Linked DNA regions of Oryzias latipes. The protein of the gene in region 3 interacts with the protein of the main gene of each other region in a pairwise test. Links are inferred from orthologs where the notes say so. Each region holds a gene or a part of one and is shown on either strand. Other genes may lie near its edges.

Region 1 (6,320 bases), about 4.9 Mb from region 3:
AAATATGGCTGCTCTGATGCAGCATGCAGTCGGTACTCAAAAGCATTAAAGACCCAGTCAGATGAAGATCATCTTATAACACGCTCTTGTGGCATTTTCCCAATGATGGAGGACGTGTATAAAGAAAATAGAGCCTTAAACTGTGTTTCTGTGTATTTCTTTATTCAAATCGATGTGAATCAGGAGCAAATAAAAAAAATTCTGCTTGTAGTTGTTACATACAAAGAACAATTGCCAAAGGCTCCCTGCTCCGCTCTATTCCAATGCATCAACAGACAAATAGATCCATGTACGTCTTGGATAAATGGCTGAAAACTGTCCAGCTGGATGTAGGCCTGCACAATAAATCGCAGATTTATAGTTAAAAATTGTGATTAATCTGCTATTGAATGATTTTCAATCCAAGTTAAAAACTCACTTTTTCTCCCTGGCTTTTAACTCAGTGAGAGTGGATGTATTAATTGGTTTTATTTATTTTTTATTGAATTTATGCTGTTTGTTTTAGTTTGTTGTTTTGTGTTTACCCTGCGTTGTTAAGCACTTTGGTCAGCTTTAAATAAAGTTGACTTGACTTGCTAAAACAATCTTGAAAGCAGCTTGAAGTATTTAGTGAATCCAATAAATCCCTTTAAGCATTTGACCAATCGGATGGACTCCTTCACGTTGTCGACCAATCGGATGGAGCCCCTTTGTTAGATGCTCGCCTCCTATGCAGAGGGTCATTCAGAGTATAATTTAAGTTATGTTGACTCTTATTTAAACTAAACTGTAGCAGTGAAAAGGATAATATATATTTATTCATATATCGCCAGTTATATCGTCATCCCAATGTTGATTATTAACATCGCAAATCGCGAGTTTTCCTTATATTATCCCTAGCTGGATAGCTCCAATATTGCTCGCCATTTTTTTTTGCACCGGTAATATTGGGTGTGAGGGACTGTAAGCTAGCAGGATAACGTGTAAACAGAGGGATGATGGGAAATGAGGGTAGCCTTACGCCTCGCCAACAGTTCCACCCACACCTTAGAGGTGAATTTCTACTGAACTCCTGCCGCTCTGCAGAAACTATGTCCTGGAAAACAACACAGTTTTTTGTTTTGTTTTGGCAGAAAACAACGTAACCTGAATAAAAAGACCACTGGGAAAGATTTGAAAATAGATCAAAAAATGATTGGAGTCTGACTTTAAATGGAGCTTTTATGTGGAGCTAAATCACAATTAGGACTAGACTGTATAGAAAAAACGCTTTAGGGAGTGTGATGGAGTAAACGTTTCTGCTTATTTGCAAAGGAGGAGGTGGTGGGTTTGTGCTCCTAAAGAGGAGATAAGGAAAATGCTAAAGGGTTGAAATGAGAAAAAGAGATTAGGTGACCTCTAACCTCATACCGACCGCACACACTGCCCCCCCTCACCCCTCGTCAGAAAGCAGCTGATACCACATCAACTAAAAGATTGATGAACCGTGTGTCCGAACAGATGCTGCCGCCGCCGCTGCTGCTACACGACTTTTGATCCAATGCAGTCAAGACTTTACGGGTTGCGTCTGCATTTCACCTTTGATTCAGTGCCAGAGTTAATGCATGCTTCTCACCTCCGTCAGTGCAATCACTCGGGGAGTGAGCAGGGGGTGGGATGCTCCCAACACCCACCCACACACACACACACCCACACACACATGCACACAGAAGACATATTTTCTCCTGACTTCAAGTCAATAAAACCTGGTCAGTGTGCTGATTGTGAGTGCCGCTGCAGCAGGGACCAAAGAGGATCAATTTTTGCTGAGGCAAACACAAAGTAACAATAAAACGAAAAAAGCATGCATAAAACGAGGGAGACGAGGCTGCGGGAAATGATTTGAGACTGGCGCTGCATTCATGTCACATGTCAACCGTGTTTGCTGAATTCCCCTCATTTTCTCCATCTGCATTGTAATGGATTATGTCATTTGTTTGGAGGGAAATAATGACAAATGTGTTTGGGATGCGGTTGTTTCATCATTGCCTTTTTGCTTGTAGATTGTGCTCATTTGCATCAATATGTCAATACTGAAGACAACAAACGGCTCCATAAACAGCTAGCTTGTAACCCGGCTGCATGTCTGTGACTGTGGATGGAAGCGGATATGAATTTCTGTATTTTTAAAAGCTAACCTTCTTTTCTCAGTATATGGTTTTAAGTATGGATGTAAATATTTGCACAGACAATAGAACAATAAAAGACATGAACCTCCATCATCTCCCTCTTCACTTGTCATGAGTAGCATGTCGCAGAGCAGACTGTCAGTGCATTCATACTATCTGCAAGCGTAGTACTACTTATGGCCGACTACCAGCTCCTCTCATTCAGTCTAATCTGGCCGGCGGTGAGGAATATCTGCCAACGCGCTGCTGCAGGCTTGAGTGGGTTGTGCAGGACCACAGTGTGTGGGAGGAGAGCTTTCCACAAAGAGAGCTGCTGTGCTGAGAGGCTGCATCTTCACTGTACTGACCCACAATGCAACAGTGGAACAACATGAGCAAAACCTCACACCGTTTTTCATGAAAATCTGAGATAAAGTAGTTTGGGTTTTATTGAAAGTGTGGATTCTTTATTGCAGAGAATAAAATGAACCAGAATAATAAATGTTTTCCGTCTATTTTAAAAACCCAGGCATGAGAGGACTTTATGATTCAACGTCGAGTACAAATAAAAAACAGGTGAAAAAGAGAAGAAAAATAAAAGAGAGGGGGTGATAAATGGATATACGGAGGAGAGGGGGAGGAGGATGCTGAGCCCCAGGAGTAAAAAAAAAAAAAAAAAAAAAAAAAAAAAAAAATCACAAGAGGAAAATAAAAAGATGCAAAAATACAAAGCTAAGCAGAAGAAATGATTACCGATGATGGTCACATCTTTAGAAGGACAGATGATGGATGCAGGTTGAAAATAATCATGACCTAATTCTTTGTCATCTTCACATCTTCTCCACCACCGTCTCTCTCTCTCTCACTCTCTGCTCTCAAAAAGGCTTTTAATCTGAAAGTTCGTACCTTATGGTGAGGTCTGGTGCAAAGGTTTGTGGGAGACCGAGTTTCTCCTGGTTGTCTGTCTCTCTGGTTGCAATCAAGCTGGACCTGGCTCTCACACTCCAGGTGGCAGGTGTAGCTGCAGTCTGATGAACACAAACACACATCAGGTCAAAGGTGAGATTAGGCACAAGGATGACTCAGATAACAGTCAAATTATGAGAAATTTAGTGATTTATATTTCAGCAGATGGCATTCCTGAAGGAGCCGGCCATGATCATTCAGTGTCTGTCAAAGTTTTTTTGTTTTGTTTTGAAATGACAAAGATCTAAAGGCTTAAAGTATTTGAAGCAAGAAAATAGCTCCATCTAGTGGCTAAATTCAGACTCACATGCAGAAGAGTTGGCAAAACCCTAACATCTTTTTAAATGTAGTGATTTGGGTTGACTTAAAAAAAATACTATCTATCTATCTATTTATCTATGATGCAGATTTATGACCTGATGCAGAAAACCCCCCGAAATGAATACTCCTACAGAGAGCTGAGTTGTGTTTATCTTTTGTTGGTTTATGAACTAAAAAAAAATACCCAACCCATAAATACACAAAAGACTGCTTCCCTCCCTCAAAAGTTCCAAAATGGTCCTTTGTTGTTCTGTACTTTCAGCTGGTTCTCTACATGTCAGTGCGTCTGCCTCCTCTCTGTTGTGGTCGCAGCGAGAAAGCGTGGCCTTTAATCTCACTTCTCTTCAGTGGGGGAAACCATTTGAACCAAAAAAAAAAACAAATCTAAAAGCTGAGTAAGAAAGTCTGAGTCAGTCAGACCGACCGACCGCAGACAGAAAGAGTTTTCTAAACGTTCCGACAGAAACAAAAGACTCCCCCATGGTTGATGTGTGTGCTGTTGGTTGTGATAAGCATGGCTGTTTGAAGATTTATCTTTTAGGAAGGAGGACATTGCTGGTCTCACACTCAGCATCAGCACTATCACCATGGCAACAAGTTATGGAGTTAATTCAGTCTCAATAATCAGAAATGCACACAACCGGTTTTACAAATGCACACGCTCCGATTCACAAATGTCATTTTATGCAAACGTGAAAAATAAATTCGGAAATACACACCCTGTGTTTCACAAACACACAGATTGTGTTTCACACATGCACACTAAATGTTTTACAAATGCACAATAAGTGTTTCTCACAAATGTGCACACTGTTTTTCACAAAAACATTTTAGAAATTCACAATAAATGTATCAGAAATGCACAGTAGGTGCTTCACAAACGTGATTTTTAGGTACACATGTGATGTGAACTCACAGATCATTCGAATTGCAGACTGTGCATTCAAAATCCCGTTCTCGTTTGTGAATCTCCCCGTGTGTGTGAGAGATTTTTCTACGGTGAATATTGAGACTCATCTGACGGAGCGGGTCAACTAATGTCACCATTGGCTAGTGAATCTGTCAATCAAACTCATCGGGAAAGCAGGCGGGTTCGCTTTTAACCAATCGAATGGTCCCTTACACTCCTCACTTTCAAAGTGACGAGGGAGGGAGCTGTTCAGCACAGCAGTTGAAAGGACGCGGGCGGCAAACATGGCGGAGAGGTCTTCTGAACGGGATCAGTCTCAGCCCGTAAGTAATGCATTTATTTGATCATTCCCTCGTCGTACGTCCTGTAATGCTATTGAATACTAAGTTGAAGCGTTCTCCTTTGCCAAGTGACATGTGTGAATGCTTTATGAACACTGCAGCCGAGTCGTTTGCAGAGTACCCCCACCGCAAATTAGCTCAGCTTTGTTTTGCTTAGCCTGTGCAAGTTGTGTCTGCCTGTGAGAGTGAGTGAAGTTCAAGCCGGTGTCGGTTCAAGCTAGCGTCTATAGCCAATGATCTGTAGGTTCTTAACATGATTCAGATAGAACTAAGGGGAAAAGCATGCCGGATTTACAGCAGCAAAGAAAGTTTAATAAAAAGTATTGATTTGGAGACGGCGATTTGTTTAAACACTGATGCTATGCTATGCTAACTAGCTAGTTGTTCCATGTGCTGCCTTTATGTAAACGCGATCCGGGTTAAAGTTAGACACAGCATTTTCACAACCCAGACTTTAAGACGGGGTCGACTGTGCAAAGAAGTTAATTCATGTGACAATCATGAAAACGGCATTTTTTAAATATAACAGACATGAATCCACTGTTGAATGAAAGAAGCCTCATTAAGTTTCTAACGTTAGAACCCGTATTCATTGTGATGACCAGCCCTGTGAGATTGTGTCAGAGTGACAGCCACTAAAATCCCCGTATCTCTTTACTTCCAATGACGTAATGACAAGAATCCCAAACATTATGTTTTTAGGCTGTTTTGTAGTCAATAAGTAGTCACAGAAAGGGTGGATGGGAGAAATCAGCTGTCAACAGTGATTAGAGTAGAAGTTACTGTAAGTATTACTCACAGGCTTCCTGTGATCAGTGTCTTGTCTCTGATTTTTTTTTAAAGGTGTTCTTTACTACAAGCTCAAGTTATCATAGCAAGAGTGTTTTAAAAAATTCCCCTTTCATATATTTGAAAATTATGTAATTTAAGATCAGACAGCTAAATGATCTAATCCATGTTTGTTGTGTTTTTATTTATTCTCTAGGAATTACTGAAGCGTGACAGCGTGACAATCTTTTGTTCCTCGTGCCATCAGGCAATACAACTCTCTGGCAGGGCATCTTACAAGTAATTTCTTTTAATTTTACCCACTGATTTTCCAATTATTTACCTTTTTTTATCAATCTTTTTATTTTGTGATATTTCTATTTGTAATGCATGTGTGTTTATGTGTTTTTTTAAGATGGCCATTTAAAAAAAAATTCCTCAGGGATTATTAAATACCCTTCTATTCTATTCTATTTCATATTTTATCATCCTATTGTATTACTGTTTTACCTGTCAATTGGGAATTTAGCATTTTTGCCGCTGTAAATATCTGTCAGTTGAAATTATTTGTACTTGTATTCCATAGATCTTGTACCTGAGAAGATAGCAGACAACAACTGTGCAGACTTGGCCTTCTTCAGTGACGCTGTGAACGTTTATGGCTTTCCTCTGAGGTATTCATGTTATTCATAAAGAAATATTTTATTCACATATCAGGCAGTATAAGTACTTGGTTATTTGTACAAAAATAAAATAACTTTTTTTAGACTCCTCTCCATAAACAAAGGCAACTCTAAAACTTTCCCCTCATGAATAACATTTACCCCCCCCCTTAACAGTCTCTCTCACCTCATTTTTTTCCCCAGTGATACATGTAACCCACTCCTG
Region 2 (5,511 bases), on a different chromosome or scaffold from region 3:
TTTTACCTGAAAAGATGAGATCATCTTTTAAAAACATCTTTGAGTCAACGATCATAGATCTGACATAGATCCTCTGATGGATGATCCACAAATCCATGATCCACAGATCTACGATCCACATATCTATGTTCTACAGATCTATGATCCACAAATCTATGTTCTACAGATCTATGATTTACCGATCTATAATCCACCGATCTATGATTACACATCTATGGTCAATGATTGAAGGGGGTTTTTATTGTCATTGCCGGTGAACAGACAGACATTACAGACTAGACTGCGGCGCCACATAAAACGCTGAGAAACAAAAATGAACAACAGTAAGCAAAATAAAAAATAACAAAAAAAATAGATCAACGGATCTTTGATTTTTTGTCGAGGAAGACCTGCTGATCTATAATTTACAGATCTGCGATCCACTGATTCTATAATGTGTGTACCACAGATCTATAATCCCTTGATCTATGTTCCATTGATGTCTGATCTATAGATCTATTCTCTTTGGAAGACCCGCTGATCCACTGATCTACATTCTGTGGGTCTATGATCCACTGATCTACATTATTCGGGTCTATGATCCACTGATCTACATTCTGTGGCTCTATGATCCACTGATCTAGATTCTATGTGTCTATGATCCACTGATCTACATTCTGTGGGTCTATGATCCACTGATCTAGATTCTGTGGGTCTATGATCCACTGATCTACATTCTGTGGGTCTATGATCCACTGATCTAGATTCTGCGGGTCTATGCTCCACTGATCTAGATTCTGCGGGTCTATGATCCACTGATCTAGATTCTGCGGGTCTATGATCCACTGTTCTAGATTCTGTGGGTCTATGATCCACTGATCTACATTCTGTGGGTCTATGATCCACTGATCTAGATTCTGTGGGTCTATGATCCACTGATCTACATTCTGTGGGTCTATGATCCACTGATCTACATTCTGTGGGTCTATGATCCACTGATCTAGATTCTGTGGGTCTATGATCCACTGATCTACATTCTGTGGGTCTATGATCCACTGATCTAGATTCTGTGGGTCTATGATCCACTGATCTAGATTCTGTGGGTCTATGATCCACTGATCTAGATTCTGCGGGTCTATGATCCACTGATCTAGATTCTGCGGGTCTATGATCCACTGATCTAGATTCTGCGGGTCTATGATCCACTGATCTAGATTCTGCGGGTCTATGATCCTCAGCTGAATCGTCATAGATCTGTAGGTCATAGATCTGCAGTAGGTCTCAAGCGGAAAACCTGGTGTTTATTCAAAGCTTTCTGGACCGTTTGCTTCCCCCTCGTGTTGCTCCCCCTCACCGGAGGTTAAAGGTCACCACACGGAGCACATGCTGATGTTTGACCCGTGGTTAAAGCGGTTCCTGGTGGTTCCTTCACCACATCAAACTCAGACTCTCATCTTTTTTCCCGTCTGGACGTCTTCATTCGTCGTAGAACTTTAGTCTGCGTTTGGGAAACCCGTTTCCATGTCGGTGACTCTTAAACATTTGCTCCTTCGGGCGTCTTCTCGTATCAAATTCCTGCGGGGCGTCTGGATCTTTCTGTGGAAAAGGTCAGGAATGACGATGAGGAGGTGAAGGAGGAGACCGCATTCCTTCTGCCGCAGAATGTGTCTAACTCCAGCCGGCGTTTAGGCGGGAAGCCCCTCCCCTCGCTCGCCTGCAGCTGTCGGACCCGCATTCCTCGCCGACCTTCACCGGGAGCGCTCCAGGAAGTGTTGACGGAGCTCTCCCTGGTGGAGCAGAGAGCTTCCTGTCCTCGGCGCTCCCGCTTCCTTCCGTTCGTCCCGCAGACCCGCCGCCTCTTTCCCACACAGAGAAAACATTCCGGTTTTCCCCGGAGTCTCCCGGTTTTCCCGATGTTTCTCTGTTTCCTTCAGGCATCAGCCAGATCCAGGCCAAGTCTCTGGGGAACCTGTCCAGCCTGGCGGGGGAGGACCTCCCCCTCCCAGCCGGTTGGACGGTGGACTGGACCATCCGCGGCAGGAAGTACTTCATCGACCACAACACCAACACCACCCACTGGAGCCACCCCCTGGAGAGGGAGGGGCTCCCCCCGGGCTGGGAGAAGGTGGAGTCCGCCGAGTTCGGGGTCTACTATGTGGACCACGTCAACAAGAGGGCGCAGTACCGACACCCGTGTGCCCCCAGGTCTGCTAACGCCCCGGTTTCAGGGCTTATTTCAACATTTAAACACCACAAGTATAAATGTTTACATTAATATCAAAACATTAAAAGTGAAACAATTACATTTTATTAGTGTAGCCTAAATTCACAACAACAGTGAATTATGTATATATAAATATATAGACCCCCCCATAACCATGGATGATGGCGTAGCTTTAAGGCGTAAACAGACATTTTTTCCTCCTAAAAAGCCTCATTTGATGCTCAGAAAACCTTCAGGTTGAAAATCAGCTCCGATCCGAACGCCGTCATTCTGCAGTTCAGCCTTTTCAGCTCATTCAACTTTTAGTAAAAAGCTTTTTAACGAAAAATGTTTTTAACATTTTTGTTGGTTTCGTAAAAGAGATTCCAGCCTTTTTGTGTTTGGCATATTTATCTGTGCTGCACATCTTTTTTCATCTAATTTCAGACGATATTGAGCTTCAACTTTTCTGAGAAATCTGAGATTTCTGTAAATCCATCTTTATGTTGGTATTTAGCTGATTGAACTTTTTCATTAATAACAGTTTTTTTAAACTATTATCCCATTTGTTATTTAGTTACTAATTATATTTATCCTTTGAAGATCTTTATAACTCTTACTCATTCAGCCATTTTAAGTGTTTTTCTCTTAATAATTTAGTATTATTTGTATTCATTATGCTGCTGTTTTACCATTTTATTGTGAAACCTGACTGGTTTTAGCTACGTTAGCGTTTTGTTCATGTTAGCGTATTTTTTGTGTTAGCATGTTGTCTATGTTAGCTTGTTATCTATGTTAGCGTGTTGTTCATGTTAGCGTGTTTACTATGTTAGCGTGTCCTTCATGTTAGCGTGTTGTCTATGTTAGCGTGTCGTTCATGTTAGCATGTTGTTCATATTAGCATGTTATCTATGTTACCGTGTTGTTCATGTTAGCATGTTGTCTATGTTAGCTTGTTATCCATGTTAGCGTGTTGTTCATGTTAGCGTGTTGTCTATGTTAGCGTGTCGTTCATGTTAGCATGTTGTTCATATTAGCATGTTATCTATGTTAGCGTGTTGTGTTAACATGTTGTCTATGTTAGCCTCTTGTCTATGTTAGCTTGTTATCTATGCTAGCGTATTGTTCATGTTGTTAGCATGTTGTTCGTGTTAGCATGTTGCTCAGCGTTGTGTAGCGTCTGTAGTTTGAACCCGTAAGACTGATATTCTTATAGAAACTGGTTTGTTCTGTTCTCATGAATCCATGGTCCAGCGTGCCGCGCTACGACCAGCCGCCACCCCTGCCCCCGCCTGTCACCTACCAGCCCCGCCCGGCAGAGAGGAACCAGCCGGTCCTGGTACCGGCCAACCCGTACCACACGGCCGAGATCCCAGACTGGCTGCAGGTGTACGCCCGCGCCCCGCTCAAGTGAGTCGGACCAGAACTGGTTTCTGAGAAACCTCCATCCAGAGAGTTGTTGGTTTGTCTGTTTGAACTGGAGAGAGGTTCGATTCCCGCCCTCTGCAGGCTGTTGAAGACCTTTCTGAGACCCGTCTGCTCCTCAGGTACGACCACATCCTGAAGTGGGAGCTGTTCCAGCTGGCCGACCTGGACACGTATCAGGGAATGCTGAAGCTGCTCTTCATGAAGGAGCTGGAGCACATCGTCAAGTCCTACGAGGCGTACCGCCGGGCGCTGCTGTCCGAGGCGGACGCCCGCTCACAGCGACAGCAGTGGTACAGCAAGAACTTTGTGGCCAACATGTGACGACCTCAGAGTTCATTTTAGAAAACCCATCTGTGCCTTCGCTTGATCCAAAGCATGGACGGGAAGAGGGGCGGCCCCACACGCCTCAAACAGAGGAGCTCTTTGCTGGGCAACAGTCAGAGAGCTGCAGCTTTAAAGTGTGGGTTCTGCTCCGACCCAAACCCCAACGTTTCGCCGTTCCTGCACGCCTCACCCGACAATCCTCCGAAGCTCGGCTGCCATTGATGGACGCCGCTCTGCGTTGGCGCTCGCTCGAAAAACCCGTTTTCCTGAACCATAAGCTACTAGAACGTTTGAATCTCACCAAATATGTGCAATTCAGCATTTTTTTTCTGGATTTTTAATGAATTTTTGTGGACTGGTCCAAATGAAAACCTCCGCTGCTCTGTCGGAGTCAGGACTCGAACACGCCTGAAACCCTGTACCTGTGCGGGAGCGTCCAGCCTGCTCCTATGAATAACCTTCAGAAGCGGTAACGTCTGCGGTGACGGAGGGATAAACGTTTACTTCATCAGCAAAACAAACATTTCTGCGTTTGTACATATTTGTCACATTTAGATGTTTCAAAATAAAACTCAAAGTTTAAAAAAACGAAAAACAAACCCAAAGACGTCCAAACCTGTAAAAAAGTCTTTTTCCTTCAGATCTAAAGACGGAGACTTTTCATCAGAACCGTGGTCACGATGGCGAGTGATGCGCATGAATGAGTGGACGGACGCGGCGGTTCTGCTGGGTTTTTGGTCCGATGGCGGTTTCTCTGAGAGCGTTCATGTGATGAGTGGAGAAGATGAGGCGGTGGGACGTTTCTGCGGCGTCCGGCCCGTCTTCCTGCAGCTCACCGATGATCCGAGGGATCCGGAGCGGCGGCGGCGGCATTCCTCCGCCCCGCCGGTCCGGGCGTAAAGCTGCAGCCGTGCAGGAGCGGCAGGACGATACGGCACAACAGCACTTTGTCACAACCATTAACACAACATGAGGAGCTGGACGCGCATGCGGCAGCGGCGCACCACGACACATCAACGGACGCAAGCGGCTCTCAGAGAAGCGGCGAGGAGGAGGAGGCTGGAGCTCCTCCAGCCGAGCTGGACGCCAAGACGCTCCCGGGGAGCGGCGCCGGCCGGAGTCTGGATCAAGGGTGCTCCTCCGCCTCTGTCCTCCTCTTCATCACCAGTTCAGTCCCTGCGGTCTTCGTCAGTCGCTCTTCTTCTCCTGCTCTGCTTCCTCGTCCGCTCGAGGTCCCGGGAAGGCGTGGTGGTACAGGTGTCTGTGATTGGCCGCCACGTTGTAGAGCTTGTAGAGCGCCTGTGAACACAGAGGGAGGGGCCGGATCGTTATTCGAACCCAAATGGACCCGACTGCACAAAGTTTTTATGGATCACGGAAACAGAATCAGAACTTCTGATGAACCGGCGAGTTCAGCAGCTGGAAGATCCGGAGCAGAAAGTTTCTCCATCATCCTCTCACGGAGAACACTGGACAGAGGAGAACCTTCACAGGAACCAAAGAGGGTCCAAGAACAGGAGGAGGACTCGACAGACCTCTTTGGACTCAGTTCAGGTCAAAGGTCACGACCCAACAGT
Region 3 (6,320 bases):
ACGAAGAAAAATGAAGATCCATTCTATCGTAAAAGCAGCTCTCTTTGTTTGCAATAGAATACAGCGCTGTGGACTGATTATGGGATGTGCTACGTTTCAGGACCACATCTCGGCTGTAGTTCACAACGTCATACTAACTTTGTTGCATCATTTACACAGTTTCCCCTCTGCTAAACACAAAGAATAACTTCAAACCATCACATTCACAGTTTAAGAAGTGGTCTAAAAGTATTTTTTCAACACTTGTAGCTTCTCTTATTTTGTTGGTATTTCACTTTTATAACTGTAAGTGATATTATTCAACACAAGTGCACCTTTGAAATGAGGATTTAATGGAAAAAAACAAACCTTGTGAATACTGGATCATCGTGAATCAGGTGATGTTGACCACATTTTTGGAGAGTTTGTATTTTCACTGGTCTAGTTTGTCTCTTCGGAACAGATCTCAGGTCAGATTTTTACTCTAAAGTCAAAGTTCATCATTTATTAGAGACCTGAAAACTAACTTCATGGGAGATTCAAGAAAAAAGACAGCAGCGCTGCCCTCATGTAACATTTAATTCTTCTGTTTGGTGAAGTGATGTTTTTCAGAGAAAATGTTGAGAAACCGAAGCAGCACTCGGGTTCCACTTTTACATCCAGCTAGCCTAAAAGCACTCGTTAGCCTCAGACACACCTGACGGGGGGGCGGTTACCTGTGCAGAGCTCTGGCAGCACCTGCACCTTCTCAGGTCACAGAGCTGCAGCCGGACTATGACGTCTGGAGATTTTGACCGCTGCCTTCCTGCAGTTCTCCAAAAAGCAGATCGATGTATTTATGTCTGAAGATATTTTGTCTCCAGACTTCAAATTTGAAAAGAGCTTTTGGAGTTCTTCACAGAAGAAGTGGCTCAGATGGGGCTTTCAGAGGCTTTTTCTCACGAAGATCAACAAAAATGATTTATTCCAACATAAAACAGTTTTTCTGACATTTTAATCTTTATTAAACTTAAAACTTTTGATAGTAAAAGTAAAAAAAATACAAGGAATGAATAAAACTCAGCAGAAAAACACATTTAGATCTTAGAACTATTTAAATATAACAATAAGCTTCAATGTTTTAAAAGTAACTCACTTTTTGACAAGTAATCTACGTTTTAGAAGATTTGTTCTTAGTTTCTGTCTGAAGGTCTTGGTTACAGATTTTCTGTTATTAAAGCAAAGCTTCAGCAGAAGCCTTGAACTCTTGAGGAAGCGAGAGCCTTCTTCTGCAGCGGTGGCACGTCGGCTCCGTTGCTGGACTCCGGCACGCGTCTTTACCAACATCCTGGTGTTCTTGCAGGCAGCTGAAGAAGCTGAGCGAGGACAGCCTGACCAAACAGCCGGAGGAAGTGTTCGATGTCCTGGAGAAGCTGGGAGAAGGGTGAGTCCTTCAGTCAAAGCCAGAGTGATGCTCACGACCAAAGCCGTCTTTTGAATGTGTGTTTTTCATTTCATACATTTCAACTTTAATCTCATTATGCAAGCGTCTGTCTGTGTTTCTGCCCATTCATTCATCACCCCCCCCATGCATCTTCATTTCCTGTTTCTCAACGCTCTTCCTGTTCTGAGTGGCTGATTGACAGCGTGTGTGTCGTCAGCTGCTGCAGAGACTCCATATTCATCCTTTTTCCATGGAAGCTAATTTTCAGCAGACTGTAGATCAGTTTTCTGTATTTCCTGTCGTTGGTGAAGGAGGCAGAACGGTCCTACAGGGGCTTCTGATGTTATGAGCTGACCACACAAAACCAGCTGGGTGTGAACCACACCAACGCTCTCAGACTCACATTTATTTAAAGATATTCTCCTGCTTCATGGCATCCATGTTGACATTGATTTCTGAGCGAAATAAACAAAATCCTGTTTCCAGAATAGTTCCTGACTTTGGTGTCTTGCAGAAAGTCTTTCTTTGTCTAATAGATCCTCCCAGACGTTTGGGATCAATTCAACGTTCTTCAACTTCCGTAGTAACCAATTCAATTCAATTTTATTTCTATAGCGCAAATTCACAACAACAGACGTCTCAATGGGCTTCGTGCCGGTAATCGTAAGTTAAACATTCAATCAAAAAGGATCATGAATACATAGAGTTCAATAGAAAATTACTTAAATGAACTAACAAACTGACTAAACTAAACTGGACATCCCTGCCCTTGGTCGTTTTTACCTTAGAGTCACATAAACCAACTGTACCTTAATCTAAATGGTATTTTCTAATGTCGATTTATAATCAATTTCATTTATTTTGAAAGGATTCTTTTAATTGTATTGGTCGATTCAATTTCCTCAGGCAGATGAACTCGATTGGATTGTAGGAATATTAATGGATTAAGTTGATGAATCGTTGCACCCTCAATGGAGACGTAGTCAGAAATCCATCTGAGTGAAAACGTGACGCCGTCAGAGTTTGACTGAACTTCTGTCCCTGCAGGTCGTACGGTTGTGTGTTTAAGGCCAACTATAAAGAAACCGGAGAGATTGTTGCCATCAAGCAGGTTCCTGTAGAGTCTGATCTCCAAGAGATCATCAAGGAGATCTCCATCATGCAGCAGTGCAACAGGTTTGTGTTCTGTGGCCAGAAGAAGCCACATCTGCTTTTCTGAGGCAGCCTGAGCAAAAACACATTTTTTTACAATGTCTCCATATAGCAGCACAGTCTGCACTGCAGAAACCCAACAGTAGACGCACAAACACCAGACACACCAAATCTGTGTTTCTAACACTGAAGCCTTTCTGGACGTTTGAGTCCACATTTGAAAGTGTTCAGAGAGACAGACCACAGACAGATGACGGATTCTGTTTGTGACATAGAGAAGAATTAACTTATCTAAATCTACAACTACATATATAAAGTCCAGCAGACGAGCTTCATTCAGTTGAAGTTGGGGGGACAGTCAGGGGCGCGAGTCGAGCCAGAGACAGGAACCACAGCCAGGTGTAGGAGCAGGAGCAAGAGACGAGGTACTCGGTCAGGAACAGGAGCATGGATGAACCAACTGGAGTCTGGAAGCACTCCCACTCCCCAGGAGGGGAAAGAGGGACAATACATGAATCACTGCACCAAACAGAGGCATGGAGAACTAAATGATGAATAATGATCAAGAATACCAGGTGTTATGATTCAGTTTAACAGCAGTTTGATTCACATCTTAATTTGTGGCTGATGATCTGATCCCTAGTAGATATTTGTTCATTTAGAAAGATCCAATTCAATCCAACTCTCTGTCCTAAAGTGAATCCAGATCCTCTTCATCCAAACTTCCAGCAGTGAGACTCAGACAGAAATTCCTGCTACTGAACAGTTTTCCAGATTCTTGGATTTCTTCCAGATCATCAAGTTAATGAAATCTGTGTCCAAACCAACAAGTAAACTAGAATGAATGTCAAATCCATTCACATGTTAGTTTCCTAAAGTTCACCACTGTTGTTTTTCCACATCCAGAGAATCCAAAGACAGGAAGTCATTTATGACCCACACGGAACACGTAAAATAAAGATTTGACTCAATGACTGATTAGAAAGGCCTAACATGATTTCCGCACAGAGTAACGTGTAACGGTAACACATGACTTTAGTGAACAGAAAGCTGTGTTTTCAGCCCTCATGTAGTGCGATACTACGGCAGCTACTTTAAGAACAGCGACCTGTGGATCGTCATGGAATACTGCGGAGCCGGGTCCGTCTCCGATATCATCCGGATACGCAACAAGACGGTAACGCAATACACACTGAGGCACACACTGTTCAAACATGGACACACCCATCCGTTTGACCCCCCCCCCCCCCCCCAGGCTTCAATGGGACTTTGGTTTTTCTGCTCAAGCAAAGTTGAAGCATCTATTAAATGAAAATCCTCAAATCTCTTGATCTTGTCACGAACAGGACATCGCTATGGAAACAACCATAACTAAATCTGCTCCAGGATTCTCATATCGACTCAGAGAATATTGAATCTAGTCTGTGTTTTTGGTTTGTTTATGAAAACTGAACCACGATCTTCTGAACATCCTTCTTTTACCGTCCAATAAGGCATGACAGGAGTAAAGGTGATGGGTCACTTTCAAACTTATACCCTATACGTTCTCACTACCTGGTGCCTTGCAGGTCTGTAGTTTTCCAATGGCATATCTCATTTCTACTTTCTTAATTTCTTATTGTAATTCCTTGTTTTGCACTTCTCCTATTTATGGTAGATCAAGTGAAGAAAGCTGTTGTCTACACTTGCTAGAATATAAATCTTTGTAGAAAATAATTAATACTTCCTCTTGATCTTCTGTTAATGTGTCTGTTTTAGGATTTCTGATGCTGCTTATTGAGTCATTAGGTTGTTTTCTTAGTCGTCTTGCTAATGATTTCATTAGAATATCATTTATTTCTGTTTGAATTTGTTGTTGGATAGTTTGGGAGGGACTTTGCTTGTGCTGCTTTTCTAAATCATTTCTGATTGCCACTTCCTGGTTGTACTTATCCTTTTTTTTCTTATTTTGTGCAGATGCAATAGCAATTATATTTCCTCTCAAACCTGCTTTTAGCTCTGCTTTTTGGGGTTAACTTCTCATTTCTGGTTTCCTTTAATGAATCTTTTAATTGTGGTTTTCATTTGTTCCTTCACAGTTTCCGTAGTTACCAGTCCTAACGTCAACCCCCACAAAGTATTAAGTATTAAGTATTAATACTTAATAATACTTAAGTATTATTAAGTATTAAGTTAAGTATTTCTCTTTTTTCTGTCTATATGAACTGTTAAAAAGCAGGGCAATGGTCAGAGACAATAATTGTACTACCGGTAATTTAACAAGCTTTCATTCGTCTCCCGCTTATTTTGACTCCTTTCATGTCAGAGCATATAAAAGAGCAAAGGAAGTAACTGAGCTGAACACTAGGCCTGAGTTGATCAATTTGATTAATCGATCTGAATCGATCCAAGCTTAATAATAAATAATCGATCCATAAGAGTAGAGATCAATCTTTTATGCTTTTCTTTTTCCGTGATCCAACACATAACAGCAGCAAAAGTCAAAGTCTGTTAGCTTAAAGCTAACCTATAATGGAATTTCCCATAGGACGGCTAACGCTCGGTCGTCCTACATATACATGGCTGACTAAATGAACAGCTTGATAAACACGCAGGCGTTAACTGAGGAAACTGTTTTCTTTAAAGTAACCATTTGTGGTCTAAAGCACGGTTTTTGTAGGATTAAAGTGTAATGTTGTAGCGCTAGTGCCACCTAGGGGCCAAACTGAAACCCCCTCCAGGAGAGGCAGACCATAATGTTGGAGCTTCACCTTTGGAGAATTCATGTAACGCTGTATGATGTTTATCATTTCACCAATACATTTGGTGAAATGTATCAGGTTCATGTAAATATCTTCAAAACAAATATAGATTATTATATTTGTAGGCTAACCTGTCTAAATGTCTAAACTGTTTAAATTTAAAATGGAATCGAATGGAGTGGATTGAAAAAATCGTGAGTGGAATCGATTCAGGAAGTTATTGGTGATAGCAGCCCTGCCGAACACAAGGCTGTGTCCTTCATCCTCCTCATCGCTTCTTGTGCTGTGAAGCTTTCAGAAGAGGAGATCGCCACTGTGGTGCACTCCACCCTGAAAGGGCTGGAGTACCTCCACTTCATGAGGAAGATCCACAGAGACATCAAAGCGGGGAACATCCTGCTGAACGCCGAGGGCCAGGCCAAACTGGCCGACTTTGGAGTTGCTGGGCAGCTAACGGTGAGGAGCAGACCTCTTATGGAGTTCTCTTCATTCAACCTGGTAGAAACACTAATGAAGATGACTGAAAGCTGCAGACAGCACGGACAGGCAGGATCTGTCAAAGCTGAGGCCTGAAATCCTTCAGCCACGTAACTAAACACCAAAGCTCCTCTCCTCAGGACACCATGGCAAAGCGAAACACCGTGATCGGCACGCCGTTCTGGATGGCTCCAGAGGTCATACAGGAGATTGGTTACAACTGTGTGGCAGATATCTGGTCCCTGGGAATCACAGCTATAGAGATGGCGGAGGGCAAGCCGCCATATGCTGACATACACCCCATGAGGGTGAGTTCTTACTGAAAAGCTCTGTGACAGCAGACGGCGACTCTTCCAGTCCCAATGTACGGAAACACATTTTGATAGGATTTCTGTTCCTCCCTATGTGAGCTGTTCACTTTGTTTCCTCCTGCAGGCGATCTTTATGATTCCCACCAACCCGCCTCCAACCTTTAGGAACCCGGATCTGTGGTCTGAAAACTTCAGAGACTTTGTCAGCCAGTGTCTGGTGAAGAATCCAGAGAACCG

Evidence for each region.
Region 1: the proteins of serine/threonine-protein kinase 4 (region 3) and rassf5 interact in binary tests that used the Homo sapiens proteins (3 or more experiments, as listed by UniProt). The link is inferred for Oryzias latipes from reciprocal best matches to the Homo sapiens genes STK4 and RASSF5.
Region 2: the proteins of serine/threonine-protein kinase 4 (region 3) and sav1 interact in binary tests that used the Homo sapiens proteins (3 or more experiments, as listed by UniProt). The link is inferred for Oryzias latipes from reciprocal best matches to the Homo sapiens genes STK4 and SAV1.

Annotation. Positions count from the first base shown.
Region 1 is NC_019863.2:28,024,270-28,030,589, forward strand, and holds part of rassf5 (ras association domain-containing protein 5), read right to left. Parts: intron 3,155-6,320; coding exon 3,033-3,154; intron 1-3,032. UniProt on the Homo sapiens protein: Potential tumor suppressor. Seems to be involved in lymphocyte adhesion by linking RAP1A activation upon T-cell receptor or chemokine stimulation to integrin activation.
Region 2 is NC_019880.2:1,308,678-1,314,188, forward strand, and holds part of sav1 (protein salvador homolog 1), read left to right. Parts: intron 1-1,913; coding exon 1,914-2,184; intron 2,185-3,436; coding exon 3,437-3,592; intron 3,593-3,729; coding exon 3,730-3,931; 3' UTR 3,932-5,122; coding exon of another isoform or gene 5,123-5,233; 3' UTR 5,234-5,511. Other genes in the region: atl1 (atlastin-1), read right to left, coding at 5,123-5,233. UniProt on the Homo sapiens protein: Regulator of STK3/MST2 and STK4/MST1 in the Hippo signaling pathway which plays a pivotal role in organ size control and tumor suppression by restricting proliferation and promoting apoptosis.
Region 3 is NC_019863.2:32,922,654-32,928,973, forward strand, and holds part of serine/threonine-protein kinase 4, read left to right. Parts: intron 1-1,321; coding exon 1,322-1,402; intron 1,403-2,449; coding exon 2,450-2,578; intron 2,579-3,616; coding exon 3,617-3,731; intron 3,732-5,586; coding exon 5,587-5,751; intron 5,752-5,912; coding exon 5,913-6,080; intron 6,081-6,207; coding exon 6,208-6,320. UniProt on the Homo sapiens protein: Stress-activated, pro-apoptotic kinase which, following caspase-cleavage, enters the nucleus and induces chromatin condensation followed by internucleosomal DNA fragmentation.